3 linked regions of the Ovis aries genome follow. The protein of the gene in region 1 binds, or shares a complex with, the protein of each later gene. Links are inferred from orthologs where the notes say so. Each region holds a gene or a part of one and is shown in the gene's direction. Other genes may lie near its edges.

The links.
Region 2: the proteins of ABL1 (region 1) and SH3BP1 are in contact, whole or in part, in a crystal structure (PDB 1ABO), measured with the Mus musculus proteins. The link is inferred for Ovis aries from reciprocal best matches to the Homo sapiens genes ABL1 and SH3BP1. Residues at the interface, in NP_033724.2 of Mus musculus: Tyr70, Phe72, Ser75, Gly76, Asp77, Thr79, Asn94, Glu98, Trp99, Trp110, Pro112, Asn114, Tyr115; in NP_001303613.1 of Mus musculus: Ala607, Pro608, Thr609, Met610, Pro611, Pro612, Pro613, Leu614, Pro615, Pro616.
Region 3: the proteins of ABL1 (region 1) and CRK are in contact, whole or in part, in an NMR structure (PDB 1JU5), measured with the Homo sapiens proteins. The link is inferred for Ovis aries from reciprocal best matches to the Homo sapiens genes ABL1 and CRK. Residues at the interface, in NP_005148.2 of Homo sapiens: Tyr70, Phe72, Asp77, Asn78, Thr79, Asn94, His95, Asn96, Gly97, Glu98, Trp99, Trp110, Pro112, Ser113, Asn114, Tyr115; in NP_058431.2 of Homo sapiens: Pro44, Asp46, Asn63, Gly66, Pro67, Arg68, Pro69, Pro70, Val71, Pro72, Pro73, Ser74, Pro75, Pro80, Gly81, Ser83, Pro84, Ser85.

The regions. Positions count from the first base shown.
Region 1 is NC_056056.1:5,917,397-5,927,384, reverse strand, and holds the start of ABL1 (tyrosine-protein kinase ABL1), read left to right. Parts: upstream 1-3,249; 5' UTR 3,250-3,879; coding exon of another isoform or gene 3,880-3,978; 5' UTR 3,979-4,584; coding exon 4,585-4,720; intron 4,721-9,988. Other genes in the region: umcharacterized LOC128092248 homolog, read left to right, coding at 3,880-3,978. UniProt on the Homo sapiens protein: Non-receptor tyrosine-protein kinase that plays a role in many key processes linked to cell growth and survival such as cytoskeleton remodeling in response to extracellular stimuli, cell motility and adhesion, receptor endocytosis, autophagy, DNA damage response and apoptosis.
Region 2 is NC_056056.1:215,310,937-215,321,131, forward strand, and holds the start of SH3BP1 (SH3 domain-binding protein 1), read left to right. Parts: upstream 1-3,763; coding exon 3,764-3,822; intron 3,823-4,896; coding exon 4,897-4,939; intron 4,940-5,171; coding exon 5,172-5,276; intron 5,277-6,432; coding exon 6,433-6,509; intron 6,510-6,954; coding exon 6,955-7,066; intron 7,067-7,167; coding exon 7,168-7,244; intron 7,245-7,736; coding exon 7,737-7,875; intron 7,876-8,361; coding exon 8,362-8,430; intron 8,431-8,594; coding exon 8,595-8,685; intron 8,686-9,066; coding exon 9,067-9,212; intron 9,213-9,958; coding exon 9,959-10,070; intron 10,071-10,195. Other genes in the region: uncharacterized protein LOC105609488, read right to left, coding at 1,599-1,854, 3,384-3,784. UniProt on the Homo sapiens protein: GTPase activating protein (GAP) which specifically converts GTP-bound Rho-type GTPases including RAC1 and CDC42 in their inactive GDP-bound form.
Region 3 is NC_056064.1:22,468,220-22,477,758, reverse strand, and holds part of CRK (adapter molecule crk), read left to right. Parts: intron 1-4,945; coding exon 4,946-5,481; intron 5,482-7,161; exon of another isoform or gene 7,162-7,234; intron 7,235-9,539. UniProt on the Homo sapiens protein: Involved in cell branching and adhesion mediated by BCAR1-CRK-RAPGEF1 signaling and activation of RAP1.

The DNA.
Region 1 (9,988 bases):
GGGGTAAACAGTTCTTTTAAAGTCAGTATATGAGAGTGCTATTTGGTGAGCTGTTTGGTTTTTTTTTTTTTAATTTATGTATGTGGCATCACTGTTTCTGTTCTTGTATTCTGTGTAATACTTGGGAGTTAAATACAGGTGAAGGATGACTTGGGAGACAGAAATTCTTCTGACAGAGGCCCTTAAATTTAAACCCAGAACACCTAGTACAATTTAACCCTAGGACAGTTTCAGTAGTGATTTGGAGCATATGACAGTTTTGAAACATAGCTCAGCTCTTTTTTGTTAAATTGTACGTCTTTATAATATTCAGTCTGTCTCCTGTTTTGAGGAGTTTGCAGTCAACTGAGTGTTGCCCAGGCTATGTTGCAAATGTAGGTTTGCTCCCTGTTTTTGAGATCATGTTCTAGGTTGTATGTCCCTGAAGGGAAGGGAATGGGGAAGGAGGGGAGCCTGCATGCCTGGTTTGGGTTGGTTTTGATCAGGGCTATAAGTGGGTTTGTTGAATGTTTGCCCTTCTCACTTGGTCTGCCAAGCTGCCAGCCTGTAATGTTCACTCAGTATATCCTGAATAGTGATTACCTACTAAGTGGTACTTTTCTTGTGGCCCACTAGAGGGTGCCCTTGTTAAGCATAATTTCAGTAAGTTTTTTTGTTTTTTTTTTTAAATAAAGCTGAAGTTTTTACACCGGTTCTGAATTCCTCTAGCACTGTGTAGGTTGCTTTGCTTTATAAGCGTGAGCACAAAATTAGGCTGAACTACGTCATTCTTAGTGGAATATATGAGCTTAAAGGGATTTATTCAAATTTGGCAACATTTATTTACTTCTGTCAGGCATTTGCTGGGCTCTGGATTCTAGTTTTAAGTCCTTAAGAATATCATTCTACAGTGTTACACAGTGCATCTCTGGAAAAAAATATTATAGTCTGGCTTGGGGGTTCACCTAAAACTAGAAAATAGCAGGAAGTAAATTGTGAGGAGGGATAAACCTTTAAATCAAGTGCTGCTGGCCTCTAAAGCATAGTTAGTCTCAATATTTATGGGAAATAAAGTCCTATTTGATTCTCATGATAACCTTGTAAAGTTTGATATGACTCGTTTATAAATGAAAGCCATTCAGATAATTAAAGTGACTTCATTAAAGCTCATTAGCAACTATGGATCAGTAGGCTTAAGTTCTTTGGATGAATCATAAAGCAACCCTTGAGAGAAGGGGTTGGACTGATAGTGAAAGGATATGGGGTCCAGAAATGTCATTTCCAGCATTGAGACCTACACTTTGGATTGTTACTCATTTTGTACACTGCCTGTCCCTCCCATGTCTGCTGTGGGAGACAAGGATGAGTCCTTCCACCCCTGCGCTTCATTTGTATCCCAGCACCTAGGACAGTGCTTGGCACACGGGCTGAATAATGCTTATGAATGATTTATTAGTTCAAGAAGTGTGGGTTAGAGTTCTGATTTGATTGGTCAATTTTAAGCTAGAGAGTGAAGAATGAAGATGCGTAGGAAATGATGAAAGCGTGAAAAGGAATAAAAAGTGAAATCTTCAAAGAGAAAGGGTGATGGTAAAGATAAGATGATGGGTAAATAGAGGGAACAGGGCGTTGATGCTTGAAGACTGATCTATAAGCCAGGATGACGTTCATCAGCCAGACTACTCAGTGACAGAGCAAAGCTAACCCAGTTAACATCTAAATTCTGCTTCTGAATTCGCTTCACATTCAGTAACTCCAGGGAACTCTATGTTTACAAGCCAGTATCTATAAAATCAGCACCATTTCCCAATCCAGCAGAAATATTTCTAAAATACACAACTGAGCATGCAACACCTATAATGCTACTGGTTTTCCCCTACTATCAGTAGCAATTTCTAAAATATCAACTAACATTAGATCAACAGTTACTTGATATTGAATGGTACAAGAGAAAATTCAAGGCTTTGGAGTAGTATCAATCTGGGCTCAAATTGTCACATGACTAGGCCAGTGACCTTGAGTAACTCACATCTTGGTTTTCTCATCTGTATACAGGGGATAACATTACTTGTGTTACTGGGCTACAATACAGTAAGGATTAAATGAGAATATGGTTTATGAAGAGCGGAAGACCATAGTGTAGATTAGGTGTGATGAGTGGATTCCCTTAGAGATGGGTATATCCTGGCAGGTGCATTGCTCTGGGGAGACTTGGAGAGTGAAGAAGGGGACCAGGAGGGTACATTTTAGTTGCATAAAAATGGGTTATGGCATGTGTGGATCCGGTTGCACGGGTCATTAGCTAGTTCTGTAAACTCAGCAGTTTCGGCTAACATGTTTTCATGTGACTATGTGTACACCCCTGAAATTAGATATTGTAATCTTTTTCTGCTGTTCCCCCCCACCTCCAGTTTTCTTGAGAAGTTGACATACATCAGTGGACAGTTTAAAGATTCTTTCTCACTCAAACACCTATGTTTATGCGATGCCTCCGAAAGGTTCTTAAAATGCTATTAATGAGTGGGCTCCCTGATACTCCAAAGAAACAATTCGTTAGCAATATGTCGATGCTCTCCAGTTGTTTATTTTTCGCTCGTTCTAATATTTATGCTGCTTGGAGTCAAGGTGGAAGTTCGGGGTGAGGGGCGGCAGTGGAGGCACCAAATAACGTCGGTTTCCTGGAGCGAACTAAATTCTCTCTCCTAAAGAAGCTCAAAGAAGCGATCCAACTCCGGTTTTGGGGAAATCCAATCCGCAGTTTTCCCCTTGCTTTGGTTCCTCGCCGGCCTTACCAACCCGCTCAGGGAGACATTGGCCAGCACCGTGCGAGGCCGGCTAGAGTCCACCGGCTCCCAGGAGGGCGGGACCGACGCTCAGGAGCCGGGAGCAAAAGGCCAGGCTCGGGCGAGCGCGGGCGGGGGCGGGGGCGCCGTAGGACCACAAATCCCGGCCTGCCCCACGGGCTACGCCGAAAGTGGTTGGCTGGGAGCTCTAGCCCCGTCGGCCAATGGGATGCAGGAGAGGGAGCTGACCCGGATTCTCGGGGACCAATGGCAGTGCAGGGGAGGCGGGAGCTTCCTTACCACTCCTCTTGCCCCTCTAGAGAACCACATTTAACAGATCGTACGGGGCCAGGCCCTGCAGGGCAGGGGGACCAGAGCCGAAAGAAGCCGCAGCGTCTCCGAAAGCGGTGTCTGGAGGGTCCCGGTCCCCACGCGAAGCGCGCACCGGACGTCATCGGGAGGCGGGGCCGGGGCGGGGCCTGGCCTCGTTGTGGAGCGGCTAGTAATCCATCATGGCGGCCGCGGGGGTCGGTGACCGTCCCTGAGCAGCGCCGGAGCCGGAACCGGTTCCTGGGTCCTGCAGCTGAGGAGCCCGCCTTGCGTTGTCCACGGCCCCTACTTGGGCGGGGAGGCCGGGTCTTGCGACGGAGCCCGGGGGATGTGACTGCCTGGCAGCGGCGGCCCTAGCCACGTCCGGGCCCGGGGGAGGGGGGTGTCTCGGACAGAGACTCCCCCCCCAGGCTCGGGGCAGCTGAGGCCGCCGGGCCTCCTCCCGGTTCTATCCTCTACCCGCCTTCGGGGCCGCGAGAGCCCGTCGTCCCGTATCAGCTCCATCCCGGCTCTGGGACCCTGGGGTTGTGGTCTCTTTCCCCAGACCTGGGGACACCCCGTTTCCTGAGGCTTGGAGGAGCGTCGCCCCCGGAGTAAGCCGCCCGTGCCCCCCGCCCCGGCAGCCTCCCTCTTTACCCCCGAGCCGCCCCTTAACTCCGAATCCCGGCCTCAAGTTTGGCCTCGGAGCGCCCCCCTCATTCAAATCCCTTCCCTGCTGTCAAGTGGCCTCCCCTCCCCAGCCCCCCAACGTTGCTCCCGTGAGCCTGTAATGCCCTGACTTCTTCCAATGTCACCTACGGCCCCCTCAGCCTCAGCCCAGCCAGAAACTTTAATGCAGAGGAAAAGCCTGGACTGGTTTCACAGGCCTTTTAAAAAGCGGACTTAAAAAGTTGCTGGCCATGCATTCCTTCTCGTCAGAGGGCCAGCTCCCGCTGAAGTCGGGGTGACCCGTGTCCTTTTCCGGAGAGCAGAGTAGAGAAAAAGCAGGAGCGGCAGCTAGTGTGGCAGGAAATTTGTTGGAAGATGGAGACACCAAGATAGGGGGTGGGTGACTTCCCCAGGAAAAGTTCTGGAGGAGCATTCAAAGACCGATCCACGTTTCCTCGATGTGTGGAAATCGACACGACTTTAGCCTCACTGACCGTTGTACAGCATCCCCTGTGAATATTTCTCTTTAGGTTTTTCTCCTTGAAAGGGAGGAAACTTAGCCAGTAAAAGACACTTGAAATCCAGGAACTTTGAGGTCGCACTGCAGTTACATTACTTCGAGTTGATAAACTGCGAATATAATCGGAACTCCTGTTTGCACACGTCAACCTAAAATCTTCACTTCCTTTTATTGTGGAAGATGTCTTGTGATTGACCTCAGTTACTGACTGGTGGAGATGCGGTGAATGTGAAATCCCACGTAAAGACCGTTTCCTTCTCAGCTCACTGATCATTCTGAAAGATCTTGAACCCTCTTCTGGAAAGGGGTGCCTATCCTTGCTTTATGGGGCAGCAGCCTGGAAAAGTTCTTGGGGACCAAAGGAGGCCAAGTCTGCCTGCCCTGCACTTTATCAAAGGAGCAGGCAAGAAGGAATCATCGAGGCACGGGGGTCCACACTGCAATGTGTTTGTGGAACACGGTGAGTGCTCTTCAAGATTTCTGGTCCTATTTTCCGCTTTGCCATGCGTAAGGAACTTTGGAACCACAGGGCTTGTGTTGGTTCCTTCCAGTTCTACTTAAAACTTCAGTTCCTCTAGGTATCTTTTAATCTCCGGTGGAACTTTCTTTGTATAAGAAAAAGTTACTTGATGACACTGGATGGCTTTATTCGAAGTCTTACTGCTTATTTCTTGCCTGATTCCCTATCTAATTCACCGTTGACCTTGGACAAGCCATTTTACTATTCCAGCTTCCTGAGAAGGTTGGACTTAGGGGATTTCTCAGGATCCATAGTCCATGATTCTGCTCTGACCTACGGCCTGGGCTCTTCCTTCCTCTGAGGTACATGGATCCTTCACTGCTTTATCTGTGGGGAGCTTTCAATCTTATCCTCAAAGGGGTTTGTGCACTCGCCAGAGCTGAAAACCACAGGCCCTAGTTGACACTAATAACCTTGATCTTTTCAGTCATAAGTAGAACTTGAAAATCCTCACTTTGGAGCTGTGTGGAAACAGCTGAAGGGAGGCCACATTCCTTGTGAACTGAGGAGCCCCAGCTTTCAGTGGTTTCACCTGAGACGGGGAGTAGTCCTATCCTCAGAATGGAGCTTTTTCCTCCTTTCTTGGGGCAAGAAAGGTTGTCTTTGACATTTTTATGAACACCACTGGCATTTGAGTGCTGACAGTACATATTATTCTGGTCACGTCCAGTAATTCTGCGTGAAATTTTAACGCTAAGGATCAGCTTAGACCGATGTCTGTGCCAGGGGCCAGCCACGCACCAATTAATTAGTATCCTGTTTGTACTGTCACAGCCTGACATTTTTCAGACCTAGTACTTATTTAAGTATCAGTCAAGCCCACCCACCCTCTGTAAGCAAATGGAAGACGTGTGCAAGTAGCATATACTTTGAAATTCAGTCACAAATACCCTTAACAACCTGTGACTGCAATAAACAAAGTTTTCTATTCAGTGAACTTGTATTTGACAGTTGAGGTTTGATTTTCTAAATAATCTGGGTACTTGGATTTTACTTTTGCCTTGAAACACGAGTTGTATTTTAGCATTGGTTTTAGACAGGTAAATAGCGTATTATGGTACTTCCCACGATCAAGATTTGTAAGTGAATTATTTGCATTTCAACCAGTGATGATCGTGCAACCTTAGGTAGTGAAAATTGTTCAGTCTCTGAGTCACGTCCGACTTTCTCCATAGACTGCAGCTTGCAAGGCTTCCCTGTGCTTCACTGCCTCCCGGAGTTTGTTCATATTTATGTCCACTGAGCCAGTAGTGCCATCCAGCCATCTCATCCTCTGCCACCCCCAGTGAAAACTGGTACAGACATTTTGGAGAGCTTTGACCAATCATATCTGAATTTAAGATGTACATAGCAGTGACCCAGTAATCTCACTTCTAGGAAGCTGTCCTAGCATGGAATAGTGTAGTGCCCTTGGTGTGCCTTTCACCCCTTCAGAGGGTCCAGAGGTGAAAGCTTTTCACAAAAACACAATTCTAAGATGTTGGGCTTCCCCGGTGGCTGAGCAATAAAGAGTGCACCAGCAATGCAGGAGTTGAGGGTTCTATCCCTGGGTCAGGAAAGTCTCCTGGAGAAGGAAATGGCAACCCATTCAAGTATTCTTGCCTGGAGAATACCATGGACAGAGGAGCCTGGTGGGCTACAGTCCATGGGGTCACAGAGAGTTGGATATGACTGAGCTGACCTTAGCATGCACTCACACAAGACATTATTTGCAATTTTCGCAGTAATGGTGCAAAAGTAATGCAGCTTCTAAGCATGAATCAAGGTTGTGGCAACTAACCATAGCAGCCATTGTGTTCTTCATGCCACGCACTCATAGTAAACTAGTAAAAATACATACATACGTATATTTTTTGGTTTTCACTTAAGGATGTTCCTGATGAAAGAGCAAGAAGTATTAATTTTATCAGTTCTCAAGTATTATGTATACATCTTTGTAATCTTCACTGAAGGAACTGGAAAGTACTTCTGTGTGCTGTTTGTCTCTAGGAAGAGCTTTGGGCAGTGGTTAGTTCAAGCCGAACTTGCTGCTTTTTCATAGACTACCATTTTTACTGACAAACTGTGGTTATTCAGATTTTTAAAATGTATTAAAAAGTGTTTCAAGGAGAACAGCTGGTGGTGTCTGTTGTCAATGAAAACATCTTTGCTTTCCAGCAACAATTAGGGTTTTGGAAAACTTGTATCTGCTCCTGTGAAGTAGAGATTGGTGATAATATTTATAAACACACTATTTTGGTATCTTATAATGGAATACATTATTTGGAAGGCCTGCATGATTCAGTGAACTGATATTTTGTAAATGACAACACATGATGTTATAAAGTCAAGCACAGGTAAAAAAGATTCATTCGAGGGGCAAGATGGACCATTGAATTTTAATGTAACAATACAAATATTAATTGATAAGAGTTTTAGATTCTGTATCAAAACTAGCCTTTAGGAAACTACCACTTACTGAGTTTGGTGTAGCTTCAAAGAACAGTATCTACAGTTATCTACAAATGGGGGTAAACAAGGCATTTCCCAGTGAAAATAAACATGTTTTTTTTTAGGTGAACAAATGAATAATTTAAAATTTTCAGTTTAAATTTATACTATAGTAAATATTGATGAGATAATCTATATAAATAAAAGCACTCGGGTTCTATTTAGTTTTCAAGAGTGTAAAGAGGTCATGAGATAAAAGTTTTTAAACTATTGCTATAGAAAGTCTATCAAGAAGTCATGTAGGGGAGTGAGCAAACAAACAGAAATACGAAATCACATAAGGATGTTTATTGCCAGCATACTGTAAATGCCAACACGGAAAGCTGTCGGTGTAATGATAAGTGGAAAAAAGCAATTGGGGGATCAGTCTGCATGGTGTGGCCCCATTTTTGTAAAACAAAAATTAGCTATTTATTTGTTCATGTACAGAAAAAAGTATAGAAGCATTTAGACTGACATAATTGTTAATCTCTAGGGAATTGGGAGTTAGGTGGAATAGCAGAAAACTTTCACTTTTTACTTTGCATTTGTGATGTTTCAGACTTCATACAACAAATTTGTTCTATTTTGTAATACCCAAATTAGGAGGGTCTAAAGAACAAATTGATGACATCTCAACCAAATAGTCAATTCTTTGTGATAAATATTGTTTAATGAAAGAAATTGCCTAGATCATGTTTTAACTGAAGACAAGTGAATTTCTTTAGACTTTGGGTATACTTTTCCCAGGGGAGCAAATGGTTCTTGATCTCTCACAGGCTGATCTTTCTAGAGTTGGCTAATATCCATATAGTTTGGATTAAAAAACTTGCAGCCATTACATACAGTATTGGACCAGACATGAATCTGGAAGCCCAGAATAATGTTGTGTGGTGTGGTGGTGGTGATGAACCTGAATGGAATGGGCAGCTGGCAGCTTTTTGCTAAGATTATTCAGGTCAAAGGGCTAGCCATATGTACAGGCAACGGGGGGAAGGAAACCATGGTATTGTTTCATGGACCTTCTGTTCCTTCCAAATTTCAGTGTCTTGACTAAAAATTCACTTTTGTGAAAGTTGGTAAAACAGGATTGAAAGCATTCTCTAGTAAACTTGTTTACTTTAATGTGTCCTTCTTTTCTCAGCAAATATTTATTGAGCTCACACCATGTGTTTTAGTCATTGGTGATACATTAGTGGGTAAAAGCACCTCCCTGCCCTCCTCAAACTTACATTCTAGTTGGTGGGGTTGTGTTCATTGTTCAGTCGCTAAATGGTGTTTGACTCTTTGTGACCCCATGGCCTGCAGCATAGCAGGCTTCCTTGCCTTTTACCATCTCCCGGAGCTTGCCCAAACTCATGTCCATTGAGTCAGTGATGCCATCCAACCATCTCATCCTCTGTTGCCTCCTTTTGCTCCTGCCCTCAATCTTTGCCAGCATCAGGGTTTTCTTTCCAGTGAGTCAGCTCTTGACATCAGGTGGCCAAAGTATTGGAGCTTCAGCTTTAGCATCAGTCCTTCCAATGAATATTTAGGGTTGATTTCCTTTAGGATTAACTAGTTTGATCTCCTTCCTGTCCAAGGGACTCTCAAGAGTCTTCTCTAGCATCACAATTCAAAAACTTCAATTCTTTGGCATTCAGCCTTCTTACTGGTCCAACTCTCACATCCATACATGACTACTGGAAAAACCGTAGTTTTGACTATATGGACCCTTGTCAACCAAGTGATGTCTCTGCTTTTTAATATGCTGTCTAGGTTTCTCATAGCTTTTCTTCCAAGGAGCAAGCATCTTTTCATTCCATGGCTGCAATCACCATCTGCAGTGATTTTGGAGCCCAAGAAAATAAAACCTGCCACTGTTTCTACTTTTTTCCCATCTATTTTTCATGAAGTAATGGGACTAGATGCCATGATCTTTGATTTTTTAATGTTGAGTTTGAAGCAAGCTTTTTCACTCTCCTTTTTCACCCTCATCAAGAGGCTCTTTAGTTCCTCATCACTTTCTGTCATTAGAGTGGTTTTATTTGCATATCTGAGGTTGTTGCTACTTCTCTTGGCAGTCTTGATTCCAGCTTGTGATTCATCCAGCCCAGCATTTCACATGATGTACTCTGCATATAACTTAAATAAGCAGAGTGACAGTATACAGCAAAACCTTTCCCAGTTTTGAACCAGTCCTTTGTTCCATGTCCGGTTCTAACTGTTGCTTTTTGACCTGCATACAGGTTTCTCAGACAGCAGCTTATGTGGTCTGGTGTTCCCATCTCTACGAATTTCTTGTTGTTTTTTTCATCTCTTAAGAATTTTCATAGTTTGTTGTGATCCATACAATCAAAGGCTTTAGCATAGTCAATGAAGTAGAAGTAGATGTTTTTCTGGAATTCCCTTGCTTTCTCTATGATCCCGTGGATGTTGGCAATTTGATCTCTGGTTCCTGTGCCTTTTTCTAAATTCAGCTTGTACATCTGTAAGTTCTTGGTTCACATACTGCTGGAGCCTAGCTTGAAGGATTTTGAGCATTACCTTGCTAGCATGTGAGATGAGCACAGTTGTGTGATAGTTGGAACATTCTTTGGCATTGGCTTTCTTTGGGATTGGAATGAAAACTGACCTTTTCCAGTTCTGTGGCCATTGCTGAGTTTTCCAAATTTGTTGGCATATTGAGTGCAGCACTTTAACAGCATCTTCTTTTAGGATCTGAAATAGCTCAGCTGGAATTCCATCACCTCCACTAGC
Region 2 (10,195 bases), about 210 Mb from region 1:
CACATGTTAGGGCCCAAGTGTGACCAGCAGTCCTGGGAAGTGACCACACTGACTGCACATCACCACCCTCCTCACCCCCCGGCAGGTGCTGTCCCCCAGGGCCAGGGTTGAGGACACATGCTCTCCAGGGCTGTAGGGACTGTGGTGTGTCCCTGCCCCAGCTCCACCCAGGATTTCCTGGGAAGTCCTTTTGGCTTGAGGACGTTTTTGGAGCCACAGAAATGACTGCCACCCGCCTAGCTGCTTCGGGCAGAAGCCTCCACATGGACGGCAGCACCAATCCGGCCACAAACACTTTGTCAAGTGTCTAAAAGGGGATGTTTTTGCTCGGTTCTGCGGCCCCACCGCTGACCCCTGCTACCACCACCTTGACGCCAGCCGCTGGCCTCCCTGCCCACATCCTGCTGGAGCTTCAGCAGTGGGCGCTTCCCATGCCGTTGCAGGTTTTTGCAGACAATCTGCACTGAAGCTGCTGGGCCTCCTGAAGCAGCCACGGGGATTAAGGCGGGAGGCGGGGGCCGGCAGGGACCAGCATTTCTGGAGTCTCCAGGCAGTGCCATCTGGCGCAGCAAGAGAGCACGTGGCTGTTTTGGAGCCTGTCGGATTTGCTTCCTAACTTGGCTTCTACCATTTAGCCGCCCAGGGACGTGGGCCAGGAGCCTGGGTCTACTCACCTATAAAACCCCATGATCCCAACCTCACTGGAGAAGGTGCTAGAGTATCTGACAATAAGTGCCATTGTCCCCCTGTAGCAGGATACAGAGGGCAAGGGGGCAACTGAGGCAGGAATGGGGGTTAAACGATCTTTCCGTTCCTGACTCTGCAGGCTGAATAATAAAGTCAGGCACGGTCTTAAGCATTTTACATATCAATTTATTTAACACAACACCCTATCAGGTAGATGCAACTATTATTCTCAAGTGAGCAAAGGCTCAGGAAGGTGAACTGCCTCAGTTCAGGTCACCCTGCTAGTGAGAGGCTGAGCCCAGCTAGTCAGCTCTGTCTATACCAGTGAACTCTGTTCCTGCTGCCTCTGGGCTGGAGATAAATGTCCTCTGATGCAATGTCTTCACTTGCCATTCAAGTCAACTGTTTGTTGAGCTCCTGTGACTGTGGCACGTTGTTCAGCCCCTGAATTCGGCATGAGCCAGACAACACGCAGGCCCTCGTCAGGAGGACACTGAGCAAGTCATTGCCTGGTGACCTCTGCAGTCCCACATATGCAGTTCTAAAACTATGATCTCAACATTCACTGATTGAAACCTCTGTGTCTGAAAGTCTCTGATGACAACATCCTTCAAAGGAACAGCTTATGCTCCACCTACAAGGGCTTCAAACCTTTATATGATTGTTGATGATCTGAGTGTGCTCAGGCTTAATTATATCCTAAAATACACCCCTTACCCAGCTAAAAGGTATGGCAGTGCCACCCAGGCTGGACACAGAAGAGCCAGGTGCCCTTCCTGCAAAAGCTCTTGGGTTTGGCTGGAGGGAAGTCTGAAGCCCAGAGGGGAGGCCCAGAGTTCAGATGGCCTGATCATGTGGCCCAGTTGTCTCCACAGCAGCTGCTGCTACAGTCCACATGGACTGAACCCTCCTTAAGCTGGAGCTGGGGGCTCAGACTCAGGCAAAACTGGGAAGGACAGAGGTACAAGCCAGGACTTGCCCTCAAGTCCCTTCAGAACAGCTGGGGAAGTGATCAAGTCCAGGCCAGTATGGTCTGGGCCAAAGGCAAGGCTGGAACAGGGTGGGGACCTGGAAGTTTCCCATATGCCAGGACAGTGGCACCTGGTGTCACGTTGCTGCCTCGGGAGTCTTCCGTTTCCTGATTCTTCACACAGCTGGTTGCGACAACTGCAGAGACAGGGGAAACTGAGTCACCATGAAGTCCAGTAGCGAAGGTAGAGAGGCTAGAACTAGAACCCAGACATTGCAAAGAGCAGCCCCACATCTTAAGAAGCCAAGTCTACATTGGACCCTGATGTCTCTTTCCATCAAGGCATTCATCAAGCCCTGCCTTCCTCAAGAATCCCTCCTGGGGGGCCTTCCAGCTGGGAGAAGGGAAGTGGGCAAGGAAACCTAGCCTGGGATTGATCCCCTCATCCTGGCCTGAGCCTTTGATCCAACAACTTTTCAACTTCCGGCCAGGATTCCGCATTCAGCTTCCCTTCGCAGCCCCTCCACACCCTGCTAGGGCCTGCCTGCTCTCCCTTTAAAGAGTGGAGGGGCAGCCAGTGCCCAACGCATGCCCAACGCATGCCCAACTGTGTGCCAGGGCCCATGCTGGGCACTGGGAATGTGTCAAGATGTCCAAATCGGAGGCTCTACTCTCAGAAGTCCCCAGTCTGCCCACTCATACACAGTAGTAGGTGCTCAAGTAACCCTCAAAGTGAACTGAAGCTCTAACAAGGCAAAGAGCAGTGAGTGAACCAGGACTCTACCTCAGGCCCCCCGCCCCCTACCCTCGGAACTCCTGATGCCCAAGGGGTGCAGAGGTTCAGAGTAAAGAGAGCCTACTGTTGCCCAAAGGCTCTCATTTTGAGTTTACTAGCAGTTACGGAGCATCTCCCCGGAGAAGGCCATGGCAACCCACTCCAGTACTCTTGCCTGGAGAACCCCATGGACAGAGGAGGCTGGTGGGCTACAGTCCATTGGGTCACAAACAGTGGGACACGACTGAAAAGTGACGCACGCATGGAGCATCTACTGTATGTCCAAGTCTGTTTTGGGTGGAGGCTCAAAGAAATAACTACTGCTGAGTTTGGGGAGGTCAGAGCATCAGCCACATCACTGCCTCACAAGAAGTTAGGGCAGGGACTGAGGAAGTCCTCCCAGTGAAGGGACTTCATAGATGGAGGAAACTCCATGTTGAGGCCGGAAGAGAGCAGGATGGTGGAGAGCGTCTGCCGTGGCTGAAGGAAGGTGAGTACCCCCATGAAAAGGGAGATGCCAGCAGAAACGGGTGCTACAGGAGAAGGCAGGGGTATCTCGTCCACTCTGCCAGGTGGGCAGGGTTGGGACAGCTGACCCACAGGCCATTAGAGGCAGTGAGGCCAGAGTTCCAGGGCCTTGTCCCAGGGCACACGGCAGCCAGGTGCCCCAGGACGCCAAAGTGGCCAGCCAATCATCTTCCAGCAGGGGCGAGGAGGCTGACCTTTGGCTCCAGGTGGCCAGGGAGTCCTTTGGGGAAATGAGTGGCAGGACAGCATCCTTTTGGGAAACCTGGATGGACCTGTTCTTGGCATCTGACTCCTAAGCATGGAACCCTGTGTCTCCTTTAAGAGGGTGCTGAGGTTATTTATACCTTGGCCCCGCAGGCCAGTGGGTGGGGCAGGAACCCAGGAAGCCAAGCTGGGCAGGCGCGGCGGCTGGAACGGGCTTACCTGCTTCCCGCCACCGGGGCTGGGCGGGGCGGAGAGGGGAGGAGGGGCCGCACACACAACCTGTGAATCGCCGGACGGCCGGCGGACCCACACTCGCCGGGACCGGCGGGGGACAACGAGGGGCCCGGAGGGGACCGGAAGACGCGAAAAGAGCGAGAAAACAAACTTGGGAGAGAGGAGTGACCTGGGGGCCGGGGGCGGAGTCGCCAGCGGGGGAGGAGAGAGCGAGCCGCAGCCAGAGCGCGGCTGGCCCAGGAAGCGAGGAGCACCGCCCACCCATCCGGGGCGAGAGAGGCGCCGCAGGCCGAGGCAGGCTGGGCCGGGGGCTGCTGGGCCCTCGACCCCCACCGTGACCCCGCGGCCTCCAGCCTGCCCCCAAGATGATGAAGAGGCAGCTGCATCGCATGCGGCAGCTGGCCCACACGGGCAGCCTGGGACGGTGAGTGTCAACTCTTTCCTCCCAGCCCCATCCTCACCCTGGCAGGACCCTGGGGAGGCCAAGGACAGCTGGACAGCCACCTTATGACTGGCCACCTCTCCTCCTTCCCCCGAAGGCCACCCCCACCTCCAAGGCAGGAGGAGCAGGCCCTGGCCTTTGGGGCAGGGGAACCCCCAGCTCTCATTGGAGGGTGGGTGGAGGATCAAGGATATTGGGTCTTAGCTGTCTCTAGGAGCCCTGGAGTGGATGGTCCTCCCTGACCTCACTTGTCCCCTCTGTACAATGGGGATGTTAACCATCCCTGGTTGCCTAGGGGAGGTGATGGTCGCTTAGGGACCCAGACCTAGGGGGAACAGAAGACACCAGGTGCAGGCAGTGATGGAAGGAGGGGCTTGCCCTTGTCCTGCCCTGCGCCTCTTCCTGCCACCACCAGCCCCGAGGCCTCCTGCTTCTCTGTCTTGCTTCTGCTTTTCGTAGCCTCAGGTGGAAACATCCCCAAGTCCACAAACCTCTGGGCTGGTGGGATGGAGGCCGGAAATATAGGGAGCTCCCAGAGCCTGCCTTCTCTCCTCTTACCCACTGGGCCCAGGGAAGGGGTCTGGGTGTCCAAAGACCCGCACAGACACCTGTGCAAGCGTGGGCAGCCAGGCCACCTTTCTCTGAGCCGCAGTGTCCACCCATGTCCTGGGCCCCTGCCGGCCACCACAGTCCAGAGTCCTGTGTGACCAGCAGCTTGGGAGTTTGAGCTTGCACACTTCCCGTTCTTGGGGCCAGCCCAACCCTCCTCTCCCTGGGTCAGCAGAAGAGAGACTCCTCCAGTCACCGCTTCAGTTTCGTCCGCCCTGTCTCAGGACACAGCCCTGGGTGGAGGAGGAAAAAGCCCAGTATCCCATTCCCACCCTCACGGAATGTGTTCCGACTGGGATCGAGTGGGCGGGCCACCCAGGGCGGCCTGACTGGGAGGGGCACTGGGAGGAACAGGGGTTCAGGTGCCCTGATTGGGGAGGGGGGCAGGAGGAGGCAGGGGGTTTCCTAACTTGGGCCCACTCAGCAGAACCTCTCTCCCCACTGCAGCACCCCGGAGACTGCAGAGTTCCTGGGTGAGGACCTGCAGCAGGTACGTGCCTGGGCCGGCAGCGGATGGCAGGGCAGGTCCGTACAGGCTGTCCGCAGAGGCCCAGGAGGGGATGCCAGTGGGGGCCCCCGAGTTGAGTCATTCGCACTCTGTTGGCCATGGGATCCCCGGGAGGAGCGAGAGAAAGATAGTTTCTGCTCTGGAGGAGAAGAGGGCAGTGGGGCACGGGGGATGACAACCCCCCATGATCTATAACCCCCGGACCCCCTCCCAGGTGGAGCAGCGGCTGGAGCCAGCTAAGCGAGCAGCGCACAATGTCCACAAACGGCTGCAGGCCTGTCTGCAGGGCCAGAGCGGGGCGGACATGGACAAACGGGTGGTAAGTGGGCGTCCCAGGGAGGAGGGGCTTGGGCAGGACATCTCGGTCCAGTGGGACAGTGAGGTAGGGGCTGGGGTCACCCTGCTAGTCTGAGTCTGGCACCAAGGGGGTGGAGGTTGCTGTGTCCCAAGGCTCTTCCGGCCCCTCACTCATGAGGTCCTATTTCTTCCCCTCCCCTTCTTGACCCCGCCCCCTCAGCGCCAATCCTCTGCACCAAAGCCAGGCCCCTGACCACCTGAACGGCTCTGTCCAGTCAGCACCCAGAGCAGGTGCTCTCAACTCCGCAGCCTGTGAGGGCTTCCTGAAGGAAGCGGCATTTGAACTGGATTTTGTGTTACTCACTAGTATTAATCAGCAGCCAGTATTTATGGACTGATTACGGCTAGTCTGTTGCTAAGATATGTCTATGCCTTGCCTCACTGAACGCTGACAACAGCCGTGGGAGGAGGCTGCCTTTATTAGCACTGTCTGCAGGAGGAAATGGAGATAGAGGGGTAGAGGGACTCGTTCAAGGTCACACAGCTAGTACGTGGCAAAACCGAAATTTGAACTCTGGTCTCCCTGATCTAAACTGGTGCTCTCCACAACACTAGCTAGGGACGTGGGAGGCATGTTTTATAATCAGACAACCATTCAGTATGGCCAGAGCAATAGGGAGCCATGGAGGGTTTCGAATTCCTCAGAAGCTAGGTCAGCTGAGGCCCTGCGGCAGGGGTAAGGGTCTACTCCAAGGCTGTCTTCCTGGCTCCCCAGTCTCCCCTAACTGTGCACGGACCTCAGGCAAGCTCCTTGCGCCCTGTTCTTAGTGTTCCATTCAGTGATGGGACTTGGTCTTTCCTTTTTACCCATTCAAGTGGCTTCTGGGAGGGGGCAAGGGGGCCTCAGGTGGGCCGGGGCTCTGCATTGTCACGCGGAGATGCCACCTCCACTGTGCCTTGTCATTATCTCGCTTCTACTCTCACCTGTCGCCGTGGCCCTCCTGGGTTCCTGCCGCTCGTGTCCAAGCCCAAGGCCTTGTTGGGGTTCTGCCACCAAGAGACTTGCCATGTGCTCAGACCGGTGGAGTGGGGGCTGGGAGGGTGGGGAAGGGTTGAGGGAAGCCCAGCAAGCATGCGTGTGTACTCACACTCACGGCCACCCCTGCTTCTCCCTGCAGAAGAAGCTTCCCCTCATGGCTCTGTCCACCACGATGGCCGAGAGTTTCAAGGAGTTGGACCCCGATTCCAGCATGGGGTGAGCATGGACAGGGCCTTCAGCCCTCACCTGGAGATGCCGAGGAGGGATCTGGGCTGGGAGAGAGTCCCGATCAGAGAGGGCACCCACTGTGGAAGGCTGACCTGGGTGGGAAGAAGGCCCGGGCTGGGAACAGTGTCCAGAGGTCAGTGAGGGCAGCCAGGCCTGGGAGGGCATTGGGCTCGGTGAAGATGAAGGAGAGACAGAACAGATAGGAGGTTGGGACTTCCCTGATAGTCCACTGGTTAAGACTCCATACTGCCCATGCAAGAAGTGCAGGTTCGATCCCTAGTCTGAGAACTAAGATCCCACATGCCATGCACATAATCAAAAGAATTTTTAAAAAAGAGACAGGAGGTGATAGGGAGGGAAGAGGCCCTCAGTCTCTCCAGAGAGGGGGTGAGGGGCTGTGGGAGCCCGGGCCCACTGGGTGCTGTGTCCACAGGAAGGCCTTGGAGATGAGCTGTGCCATTCAGAACCAGCTGGCCCGCATCCTGGCCGAGTTTGAGATGACCCTGGAGAGGGACGTACTGCAACCACTCAACCGGCTGAGCGAGGTGACCCCTCCACACACACCTTCTGCCCCCAGCTCCCCCAGCCCCCACCTCTGCAGCCCGCTGAACCCCCACCCCCACCTCCTACCCACGCCTGCCCCCAGGAGGAGCTGCCAGCCATCCTCAAGCACAAGAAAAGCCTGCAGAAGCTGGTGTCTGACTGGAACACGCTTAAGAGCAGGTGGGAGCCACAGCCTCTAGGGGGGTGGTTCACGCCTAGGTCAGCCCATGGATGTGGCCGCAGAGCTTCGAGACCACCCCCCCCACAACTAGGAGGATGCTGCAAGGTCCTTAGGGATATAGTGTGTTTCTTTGTGCACACACCTGGGGCTTAGGAAGACATATGGTAATGGTGCATGCGATGGGGCCTCTCTGCACATGCTTGTGCCAGCTGGAGGTAACTTCAAAACCTGGGAGAGCCATCAACAACCCTCCAAGAACCCTGGAGGGCGCCCACCCTCCACTCTGGAGGTGGATGGCTAGGATCACCGAGCCCGCCACCAGGGGGGCGCCCCAAAGCACTGCTCATGCCGAGCCGAGACCCCAGACCTGTGCCGCCCTGGGATTTGCGTCTATCAACCCCCAGAATCCTATGGGGTTGGGCCGATGGGGGGCACTTAGCTCTGAATGTGCCATGGGAACAGTGACCATCCCACCTTGGGATGATCCTCAGGCTGAGTCAGGCAGCTAAGAACTCCGGCAGCAGTCAGGGCCTGGGCGGCGGCCCAGGCAGCCACACCACCACAGCCAACAAGGTAGAGACGCTGAAGGAGGAGGAGGAGGAGCTGAAGAGGAAGGTGGAGCAGTGCAAGGTGAGGGGCACTGGCAGCTTCCTGGGGGTGGGGGTGGTGGGGTGGGCGCTGTCCCCACTGCACAGGCCGTGTGGCTAGGAAGCAGCTGAGCCAGGATTTGAATCCGGGCTGCCAGGCTCTGGGGTCTGTGTACTCAGCCGTTACCTGGTAGCTGCTTCTGTCTGTATCATACCCATAACACCTGGGCAGGAGGGGACAGGGAGGAGGGCAGGAGGGGAGAATCTTGGCGTGTTGGCTGAGTGAATGAGTGAAGGGTGAGTGAATGAGAGAGTGGTGAGGGTATATGGACACAGAGGAGAGGAACAGGAGAGCCCCTCAAGAGCTTGGAGGGGTTCCCGTGGGCTGGCCCAGGAGCAAACCTTGGCAGAGCGAGAGTAGAGTGGACTCCAACCCTCCCATACAACTCGGGCAAACCTCTACCTGCTCCAAGCTTCCCCAGCAGGCCCCAGCCTCCCTGGTACAAGCCCTGCTCTCTTTGTCCCCAAGGACGAGTACTTGGCCGACCTGTACCACTTTGCCACTAAGGAGGACACCTATGCCAACTACTTCATCCACGTGAGTCCAAGACCAGACTCCAGCCACCTGGAGCTCGGGGGCCACTGAGATCCCCTGCAAGGTGGTGGGAGGGAAGGGTCTGCGTTTGTGGCCCCTGGAGGAGACTCAGCTTCCCTCACTTCCCCCCGCCCCCCGGGGTGGGGGGTGCCCCCTTGTCCCCACAGCTCATGGAGATTCAGGCCGATTACCATCGCAAGTCTCTGAGCTCGCTGGACACGGCCCTGGCTGAGCTGAGGGAGAACCACAGCCAAACAGGTGGGGACCTGACCCCCACCCCTGTCCCCCACCCTGCTCAGGGCCTGTTAAGAAGCTTGCACTCCATCCCGAAAGGCACTGGGGAGCCCGGAATGAGTTCTATCCAGGGGAGGGCTCAGTGAGATTTGTGATGGAGAGATTGCTCTGGCGGCTGCATGCAGAATAGAATTAAAGGGCAGGATGGAGACCTGTTAGGAGGCAGAAGGGAAGTGACGGAGGCCCAGGCTGGGGTAGAGGCAGTGGAGGTGGGTGGTTTGGAGAGATGTGTGGGATGGTTTCAGGATGTGTCCTGTGGGTGGTCAGGAGGGTGGTGGAAGCCCCCTGACCTGGCTGCTTAGAGGTGGGAGGACCCTGGGCCGCTGATCTGTCTCGTCCCTGCAGACCCCTCCCCTTCGATGACGGCCGCCCCCTTCTCCAGGGTGTATGGGGTGCCTCTGGGAATCCACCTGCGAGAGCTGGGCCGGGACATTGCCCTGCCTATTGAGGCCTGCGTCATGATGCTGCTCTCTGAGGGCATGAAGGAAGAGGTGGGGCTCGCTGGGGCAGGTGGGGAAGGAGCACGGGCCCCTCATCTGGTCCCACCCCTCCCACGCATGCCTGTGCTGGGGTGTAATCCCACCATTAGCGCCCAGGTGCCAAGAGAAGGCATGGCCTCCTGCAGTTGAACTGATGCCACCTCCCCCTTAGTGATGCTCACATGGACCAGGCCCTGTGCTATCAACCCTTTGCACACCTTGCTCCATTGCATTACCCCAATAAACCTTGCAGGGAGCCTTCCATTTTTGCAAGAGGTAGACAGAGGCCAGTGGGTCGGCGTGCCCAGTGGCAGGTGAGAAGGTTGGTGGAGAAGCCGGGGAAGCCACGTCAGTCTCGGCCCCGTGCTGCCCTCATCCACCCTGCGCTCCTCGGTCCTGCTAGCACATCGGCTGCTTTCCTGAGGGCAGGCCTTTAGGAGGTGGATCATGCTTCAGAGACAGACCTAGGCTTCAGGACAGTCCTGCGGGGCCTCTTGTCTTTCCTCCACTCCCGTCCAGACTCCAGTCTTCTCATGATTTTCCCAGCTCCTCCCAGGCTTCTCGTTTTGCTCAGAATCCTAGACCTTGAGAGTCGAGAGGAGCCATGGACACAGTAGTGTTCGCTCTGCCCACCAGCCCATGGGGCCCCCGAGGCCCCCTTCCCCTGGGCCGGGAGTGGACCAGTGCCTCCTAGGCAGGGGGTCCTGCCCCTACCCTGACCCCTCTGTGACTCCCACTCGCCCCCTCTTGCCCCTCAGGGCCTCTTCCGTCTGGCCGCTGGAGCATCGGTGCTGAAGCGTCTCAAGCAGACCATGGCCTCAGACCCCCGCAGCCTGCAGGAGTTCTGCTCTGACCCCCATGCTGTGGCAGGTACCTGCACCGAGGAGCCCTGGGTAGAGAGCCTTCCCCCAGGGCCCTCCCCTGAAGCTGCCTGAAACGGACCCACAATAGTTTAGCTTAAGGCCTGATACTCTGCCAAGAAGACACCTGAGGAG
Region 3 (9,539 bases), on another chromosome or scaffold:
TTCCACTGTAGGGGGCATGGATTTGATCCCTGGTTGGGGAACTGAGATCCTGCATGCCGCGTGGCATGGCCTAGATAAAGACCAAAGGAAAGGGTGACAGGAGACTGGCTTCAGCGCTCAGGCAGTATGCAGCTGCTATCTAGAGTCAGTGATGAAGAGGTTTTTAGTAACCTTATCTGCCAGATTAAATATGGTAACTGAGCTTTTTGTTTAGGATTATATAATGTATTTTGTGGGCATAATGCATAGGATGAATTTGTACAGAATGGCTCAGATATACATTTTAGAGGTATATGAACACAATAGACCAGATACTCTCCACTTTTTCCAGTCAGCTTGTTTTACCTTGGGTTTAGCTCCCACAGGCTGCCAGTGCTGCCGTTGCCTGAAGTCCCCTGACTGTGCCCCAGGGCCATAGGGCAGGGCTTGATCAAGTCTACTGGTCACACTCTGTCAGGGGTACCTCTTGGGAAGACTTTGCAATCCTTGATTGATCCACTAGTTTTTACCTCTTGAACATGAGGTTTTACTAGACCTTGTCCAATAAACAGTCGATAAAACAGTAAATATGAGTTGGGAGAATAGTTCAAAGCTTGTGTTCTGAAGTCTGGGTTTGAATCTTCCTTGCTGCTGCTAAGTCACTTCAGTTGTGTCCGAGTCTGCGTAACCCCATAGATGGAAGCCCACCAGGCTCCTCCGTCCCTGGGATTCTCCAGGCAAGAAAACTGGAGTGGGTTGCCATTTCCTTCTCCAAGGCATAAAAGTGAAAGGGAAGTTGCTTAGTCGTGTCCAACTCCTAGCGACCCCATGGACTACAGCCTACCAGGCTCCTCCATCCGTGGGATTTTCCAGGCAAGAGTACTAGAGTGGGGTGCCATTGCCTTCTCCGTTGAACCTTCCTTATCTTCTGCTTACTGCTCATATAACCATAGGCAAGTTCTTTAACTTCTCTCTGCCTCAGTTTCCTCATCAGTGAAAGAGGGGAATTAGTACTGACAGGGTTATTTCAAGGGTTAAATGAGTTTTAGTATATTAAATGCTTAGGAATGGAACTACCATTAGGTATATTAACAGATGTGGTGGAGAGGGAAAAACTGAAGCAGAATGGAAAACAATTCTCAGCTTTGAGAGGCTCACAGCATGTCTGAAGGAGTAAGTGCTGGGTGGGGGTGCATCAGGCAGTATGAAGGAGCCTTGGAGCCAGTGTGTGGAAACAAGACGATGGCTTCCATTGCCTGCTCAGCCCAGAACCTCCTACTTGTTGGCCCTAGTGGGTGAGGGGAACATAGAAACTTGTCTCATTTTGGGAGTGGAGGCAGATGCTAGGGTGATGATTGTGCTGCCTCTTCAAGGTGGTGCTGGGCCAGGCCACTTCTGGAGATCCTAGGGGACTGCCTCTTATCCACTACTGCCTTTTTGAACATCCAGCATTTATTTCATTTGTTTGGCTCATCCTTGTAGTTCTCAAACCTGGTCCTCATGATTTACTCTTTAATGAGTTAAAGATATTCAGTGGTTCTATGAGGAGTTCTTTAGTGAGTTACTTAAAAGATTTTAGACCCTGCCCCCACAAAAAAATCTGTAGTAAAAGAAAGTGCGTTTATTTATCGCCAGACTTCTCTAAGCCTTCCCTATGTTCATGTGAAATTATGACTCTAGACAGGCAGGTATTGGACAGTGGTTTTTTCAAACCAGTCTGACCACAGAACTTTTTGAGAAGCATCTTGAGATTCTATGGAATCTTCTTTGGGAAGAATTGAAAATTTACAGAGGTGTTCAGAGGTTTGGGGGGGGTGTATAATTAAGCTGATTGGCCTTTTATTGGGCATCTATAATATACCATCTACTTTTAGGAACTTACTATTATTAGATAGAAATTATTATTATGTAGATCCCTGTCAAAAGTTAAATAACAATTCAGATAGCTAGAAATACCACAGCCTGAATTCTTCAAACTTTATAAGTCTGAATCTGCAAAGTCACATGCGGATATCCACCATTTTTAGAGCTTTTTCAGGATACTTTCTCAAATGAAGTCAGTGGCCTTGTTAGTCTTTTGTAGTGAACAGATGGTAAGAGCTTTGAAGGAATCTCTATGAATACCATAGGCAGTGGAGAAAGAAGAGAGGGAATGAGAATCTAGGAAAGAGGAAAGGAGAGGAAGTGTGAGGTTAAGAGACTGATAATGGAGCCACTGTGGCGATGCCCATGCCAGAAGTGCCTTGGCCTGTTTAGCCCCCAGAGCTCTTGGGTGTTCTTCATAAAACTCTCAGGGGATTGTAAAAACTGTTGTAACCTGAGGGCGGACATGCTTGGAAGTGATGAGTTGAGCGTGTACAGCTCTGTTGGTTAAAAGATAGCTCTGACTGCCTTGATTCTGATTGCTGACTATGTTCATAACTGCACATTTAGAATCCAGCACAGGTTTGATGGAGAACAAGTCAGTGAGGTTTTCCAAGTCCCAGCTCGGAGAACTCTGCTGTTGGTTCTGTTCTCTAAACTGACTGACTGTCTCCTTCCTTTCCCGCCCTTCTATTTCCTGGCTTTAGCTGTTTGTGGTTGGAAAGAGATGAACTAGGGAAAAGGAGCCGGAGCACATAGCTGTGGTGAGGTTTGGGCTTATCTGGAACTTACGTATATGTATTTTGTTCCCCCTCCTCTCCTGAAGCTTGATTGCCCCATATATATATATAACATGTAACTGCTGCAGCGGCACACAAAAACAGGTATTTCTCTATGGAATAATTGTAACATCATTAGAATAGGAAAAGAGGGAGTTCTTGGTGGTTCAGTGGTTAGGACTCCAGGCATTTGCTGCTGGGATCTTGGTTCAATTCCTTGTCAGAGAACTGAGATCTCGCAAGTTTCCCAATGTGGCAAAACGAAAGAAGGAAAGAACGAACCATTCAGGAATGGAAGGAGCTATTCTTTTATAGTAATTTTGTTCTATCTTAAAACATAGCTTGTTGTTGCCACTGATTTTTGTAGAGTACATCCCCAATTGGGAGTGAATGCCAGGGGAGAAGAAGTCTTCCTGAAACACGCTGCTGTGCTCCTTGCTCACCAGCCACACTGTGTTTGCATTTGTATGCGCAGCTGTGCTGTGAGTTTCTCAAACCTGGGGACAGATTTTCATGTAACTTTTCCTCACTTGAGAGTTATGTTCATTATTAATGAACACGGTCCCTAAAGGGTGACTAGTGAAAGCCATATTGGCATTTGTACCTTGGCGTATTGTTGGGTAAATTCTAGGAAGGGAACTTTTATTCCTAGGTGTCACCAGGACAATTCTCTAAGCCAGGTTCTCGAAGGTTCTCCCTACCACTCTGCCCTTAAGGCTTTCTTGACCAGGCAGTACAAAGTCGGTCTTCTTGGAGCTCACACTGACTCTGTCCTTCACATAGTTCCACAGGCCTGAAGGATCACTGTAGCCTAGAGGTGATAGATGAGGTAGCCATGCGTCTTCCTTGTTTACCAGGCTGGAGTAGGAATTATTACCCATCAGTTTTGAGCTTTAGAGAAGAGAAACTCCAGAATGTAGCACCACTGTGCTCTGGTATGGTCATAACCAAAATCCTCTCTCCAGTCACCAGTTCTGCACTTGGAGCTATTGGGGTTGCATTCTGCTGGTGTCTGAGGAGTGTTTGCCATAGATGGACAATCCTGGGTATGAGCATGTATTTCAACATCTTGAGTCAGAGAGACAGCCAACATTACTGACTGTGGGCTATTAACTCGTTTTAGTTTATAGCCATGAATTCCACAGATGGACTTTTGCAATGTAAGAAATGTGCATCTGTCCTCTACATTGTGTCTCGGCCTTTGTTTCATATGGGTGGAAAGAGAAGTCACTCATGAGTATACATTCTGTATTGAGGACTTTTGGTTAACCTCCAAAGTTTATCACTTCACCTCTCCCCACTAGAGGATTTTAAATGTACTTTTTCTGGTCTATCTGGACAGAGTGTTGTCTAACACGGAACGAAATAATTTGGTCTCATTTTTTAGAGTGGCGAAGCAATTTAGACAGCTGGGCTACCGCAGTGTTCCTGTTTCGCAGCGTTAACAGCAAAGGGTTTTTAGATGGATTGGCTAGGTTTTTGTTTTGACTGACTGGTTTTAATAGGAGTGGTGAGGGTAGTTTAGGCCCTCTCTTTAACAAAGAACTCGAACAAGTAATTTTCACAAAACAAGTACAAATATTCAATAAATGTGAAAAACATCAAACAATCAAAGATGATATTTAAGAAGAGACACCCCTGCTGTTCTGGCAAGGACATGGGGGAAATGGGAACTCATAATCCACTGGTGTGAGTGTGAAATCATAAAACTTTTTGGACGACAGGCAACATAAATCTTGGTGTTCTTACCCTTTGATCCAGCAGTTGCATTTTAAGACGTTTATCCTAAGGAGGTAATAAAAAATGTTCATTAATAAAAGCACTCATAAGAGCATTGTTTGCATAGTGAAAAATTGAGAATAAAATATCCCACCTCGTTGGGATAGCTGCTGGGACCTATGAAAACTGAGAGGTTGCTACATTTCCTGAGGTTGAAAAGAAAAAGAAGACTAACACAGCCTTGAACCCTTGTACTCTGCAAATGGAATAGCCACGGAACGTTTTGGGAGAATGAACAAGAGGTTTCCATAGTGTTCTGTCTTTGGTCCGATATGTGAGCTTGTCATGACGGGCGTGGTTGCTCTCTCACAGCCTCTGTCTCTTCTCTGCTGCAGGTAGTGATCGCTCACCTTCTTCCCAGGGAGCATTTGAGCTACAAAGTATGATTTTAGTTTACTGTTAGGAGAAGGGGTTATTTAGATGATTTTTTTCCTTCTCTTTCTTTCTGGTTAAATATTGAGTAAATATGTACGGGGAGATGCTTAAAATCTGCATTTCATCTCCAGTATATCTTTCAATAATACCCTGCTCTGTTTTTTTTTTAGGGGTGAGTCCCTCCAGACTCCGAATAGGAGATCAAGAATTTGATTCATTGCCTGCTTTACTGGAATTCTACAAAATACACTATTTGGACACTACAACGTTGATAGAACCAGTTTCCAGATCCAGGCAGGGTAGTGGAGTGATTATCAGGCAGGAAGAGGCAGAGTATGTACGAGCCCTCTTTGACTTTAATGGGAATGATGAAGAAGATCTTCCCTTTAAGAAAGGAGACATCCTGAGAATCCGGGATAAGCCTGAAGAGCAGTGGTGGAATGCGGAGGACAGCGAAGGCAAGAGAGGGATGATTCCAGTCCCTTACGTGGAGAAGTATAGACCTGCCTCCGCCTCAGTATCGGCTCTGATTGGAGGTAACCAGGAGGGTTCCCACCCACAGCCACTGGGTGGGCCGGAGCCTGGGCCCTATGCCCAACCCAGCGTCAACACTCCGCTCCCTAACCTCCAGAATGGGCCCATTTATGCCAGGGTAATCCAGAAGCGAGTCCCTAATGCCTACGACAAGACAGCCTTGGCTTTGGAGGTACATAATGTGCAAAATGTAGAAAGAAGAGATCTGCTACAGGGTCTCCCTTTCAGACCTCTTAGAGCTTTGTAGGAATGCTGAATATAAGCAGCAGCATTGTAACATTGTTATAGATGTTGAATGGTACTTTTACCATTAAGTACTGATCTTGGCACTTAATGTTGGGTTTTCTCTTTTTTATAGAAAACCTATTTTGGAATGAGTGAGCTTAAAACTGTATAACTGAATGTTCTGATTGATTTACTAAACCATACTTTGACTTCTTTAATAACACTACCTGAATTCACAGGAATTAACCTAAAATATTTTTTTTCATCTACATTCTAACCTGTTTCTTTCTGTTTATCGTTATCTAAAATAAGTGGGCTCCACAAATTTGAGTATAAGTGGTCTCTATCAAAATACTTAAATGAATTTTCTTATAGAAATGTGTTTTTACTTTAGGGGGCTTGGGGCTTCTTACCATGACTAATTGTATAGGTATAATGAGATAGATACTCAAAAGCGTCAGTTCCAAGAAGCAGCAGGTTTACTTGGTCTTTGTTGTTTGCTGCATTTTATCCTCGAGAAACCAGTTCCTCCTGAGGAGTAAATTTTCACCTTTACTGGTGAATAGTTGTCCTCGGTAGCCCATCTCTGGCCAGCCATCACGTTGTTTATTCTCGTCTTTAGTGCTCACAGCTTTGTTTCTTACCTCCTCTCTTCTTCCCTCCTTCCCTCCCTGTCTTTCTGAGTTATGCAGAGATAGTGGTTCAGCATAAAAGCTAGAAGTGGCATGCTTTCCTGTCTTTCAGAGCCTTTCAGATACGATAACTTTAAGCAAGTAGCTAAATTTCATGAGCATAGGCTGAAGTTACTCAGGGGTGCAGGTTAGCAGAGAAGGGGCTAAAGTATTAATATATTTTTGTAAATGGAAATCTCTAAAATCCTTTGGATCATGCTTATACAGTGAGGAGTGGGAGTTGCCTAAGTAAAAGGCTGTACAGTAAGCTGAAATTTATTTGAAGTAGTCTGATATTACTGGATTTAAAATTTTTCATTTGCATTCTGAAGAGTTGGGTGCAAAGAAGGATTAGGTCTACAGGTTTGACTGAAAAAAATGTGTGCTTTTAAAATGTGTATATTTTGAGATCATGTTGTGACTGAAAAGTATTGTGTCCTGCTTTTGATGAGAAAGGAATTATATGTTGTCTAGGTCACACTACTTTTTCCCACTTAGAATTTGGAGGATAAGGAAAACAAGTTTCTAGCTTCATGTTTTCATTTAAGTTCATACGACGGCAGCAGCCAAGCTGGTGCTGTGCCCGTGACAGCTGTGACTCTGGACGCTTATTGCAGGCCCTGTTAGCCGGGCTGGAGTGTGGGAATAGCTAGCTAGCACCCAGGAGAGAATAGTTACCACATTAATTTTGCTTCCATTTGCAATTCCTTTCTCAAAGAAAATTGGTTTGGTTTGGTTTGGTTTTGACCTCACTGAGCAGTTTCCAGGATCTAAGAGTCAACACGACTGAGTGACTTCACTTTTACTTTTCACTTTCATGCATTGGAGAAGGAAATGGCAACCCACTCCAGTGTTCTTGCCTTGAGAGTCCCAGGGACAGGAGAGCCTGGTGGGCTGCCGTCTGTGGGGTCTCACGGGGTCGGACATGACTGACTTAGCAGCAGCAGCAGCAGCAGTTTCCTAACCAGGGATTGAACCTGGGCCCACGGCAGTGAAAATGCTGAGTCCTAACCACTGGACCATCAGGGAATTCCCAGAATTGTTTGCCCCAACGATGCTTGCCTTAATTAGAGGCTTTAGTGCTCCAAAATGGTTGAGCTGGTCTCCTACTGTGAAACCTAAATCTTGTGAAATAAAGACTAAAGTAGAAGAGTGCTTTATGATGTCACTAAGTTTCCTTTTTTGGTTGGGTATTAGTTTGGAGCCACATGTGTTGACTGATGATGATAGCCTCTTTCACGTTAGAACAAGTACCCCAAATAATAACTTTAAAAACACCTTATGTACTTAAGAAAACATCATGTAAGTTTAGCATCACAGAAATCTAAAGCTAGAAAAGACCTTAGATACCCCTATTCATTTATTGAAAAAAAATAAGAGATGGATCGAATGGGTTGTTTAAACTAGTTGGAGATATGAGGAGTCCAGATCTACAGTGGCCTTTTCAGCCACGCCCAGATCGCATCTGGGGCACTTTCTCTTTCGTAGTGGTGATGCTGCCCTCCCGTCAGTTTTGTGTGGTGTAACTGGCAGCATGTCCTTGCGTGTGGTCTCCGTGCCGGGAGACAGCGTTCCTTTCCTATTTCTGGTTTTCCATAGGAGCTGATGCCTAGTCCCTGTGGAGACGAAGCCAGGAGATAAGGTTAGGAAGCTCTGACTTTCTGACCTTCGCATTCAGATGAGAAAAAAGTTCATTGCTGTAGTCGACCCATTATAGGTTTAGATCTGTAGACAAACTAGGCACATTTCAGTGAAGTTTTACGGTTACCTTGAAATTGATGTTGAAATCATTGCATTTTAGAAGTGGACAGAACCCCAGGTATAATAAGGGTTCAGACTCCTAGTATTTCCCAGAAGGTAGCTGAGGATGCAACGCTCTGGGTTACCTCTCTCAGTCAAAGCAGCTTTGTTTTTACTGTTATATATCGGTGTCTCTCTAAGGTTTTTTTTTTTTGAAGGAAGGGTTTCTGTACTTAAAGAGTATGTTCAGGATCCACCTGTCCTCCCCTTACAGATGGATGTTTCCTGCATGGTATATTTTCTGTGACCAGAGTCCTCCAGTAGAATATAAGTCAATGACTACTTCCTCTTTTCCCACCCATCAGATTTCTCTAGTAGGAATGAAGGTTGTTGGAAAGAAGGCATTAATTCTAGCAAACAACCAAAGTAAGGGTATTCCTTGGTTCACTGTAACTCTGGGGGAATGTAACTGAACCAGGAGGACACCATCTGTTCCATCCTGGAGCTTCTAATAAAGACAGATTTTAAACAAATGTATTTTGAAGGAGACACACTGGAAGTAGCACTAGAACAGTGCAGAGGCACCATTTACTTTTTTGGTCTTAGATTTGATCTGAGATTTCTGTTTGATTGGTTTTGGTTTCATGAGTCATGGCTCCTTGGGAGCTGGAATAGTGATGAATCTTATCTTGTAAATTGCAGGTGTTAAAGTTTATTTCATGCCTCTGTAGACTGTCCAGATCAATCACATTATCTTGGAATGTACTATCATGTAACTTCCATTTTCTGATTCAGCCTGGCCTCTTGCCTTTGATAGATAAGACTTCTGAGTAACCAAGGAGCTTTTCAGGTGGACTTAGGTGTGAACCTGTTCTTCTGGTAGCAGATAGGGAAGACGTAAAGTTCCATGGGTCCCTGATTATATGCAGCAGTGACCATATTAACTCTACATCTCCCCATGTAGAGCTCTGAAACCTTAAGTTATTTAGGCCTTTTGACCTATATATGGAAAAGTGAAGTGAAGATCTTAATTTCCCCTTTGTTCCAGAGAGAAAAAATGAGATTAGGAAGTGTAAGAACTGCATGACAGGTCTTGGCTATATATGTAATAACTTCATACCCACTTGAAAAAATAATAAACATAATTGAAAGAAAATAATATTTTCATTTTAATAAAATAGTTTCAGTTACTTAACCCCCCATTAAATAGCAAAGTTTCTCAAACCTTGGGATCATATGGAACATTGCCACCTTCATTTCCTGTTCCACACCTGTTTTTTCATAACGTACTTGATTTTTATCATAGCAACTGCCAAAGCCCAGCTTTGCAAAGACATGACATCTTTGAAAGGGATGTAGTGTAATCTGATATCAAAATTGTTAACTGTTTTGAGTTAGTAGTTCACATGGCATAACAGACATCAGGTATTGCTGTTTCCCTCAAAAATACAAAATACTTGGTGGGACCCCTCAGAATTTGCTGCAGTGCCTCTGACTCTTCAGTTTGGGAACCTCTGGTCCTGTTGACTGTACTAGTTCTTAGAAAATTCCTTAAGTTGAGCTAAAATGTACCTGTTCTGTGTACCTCTCATCA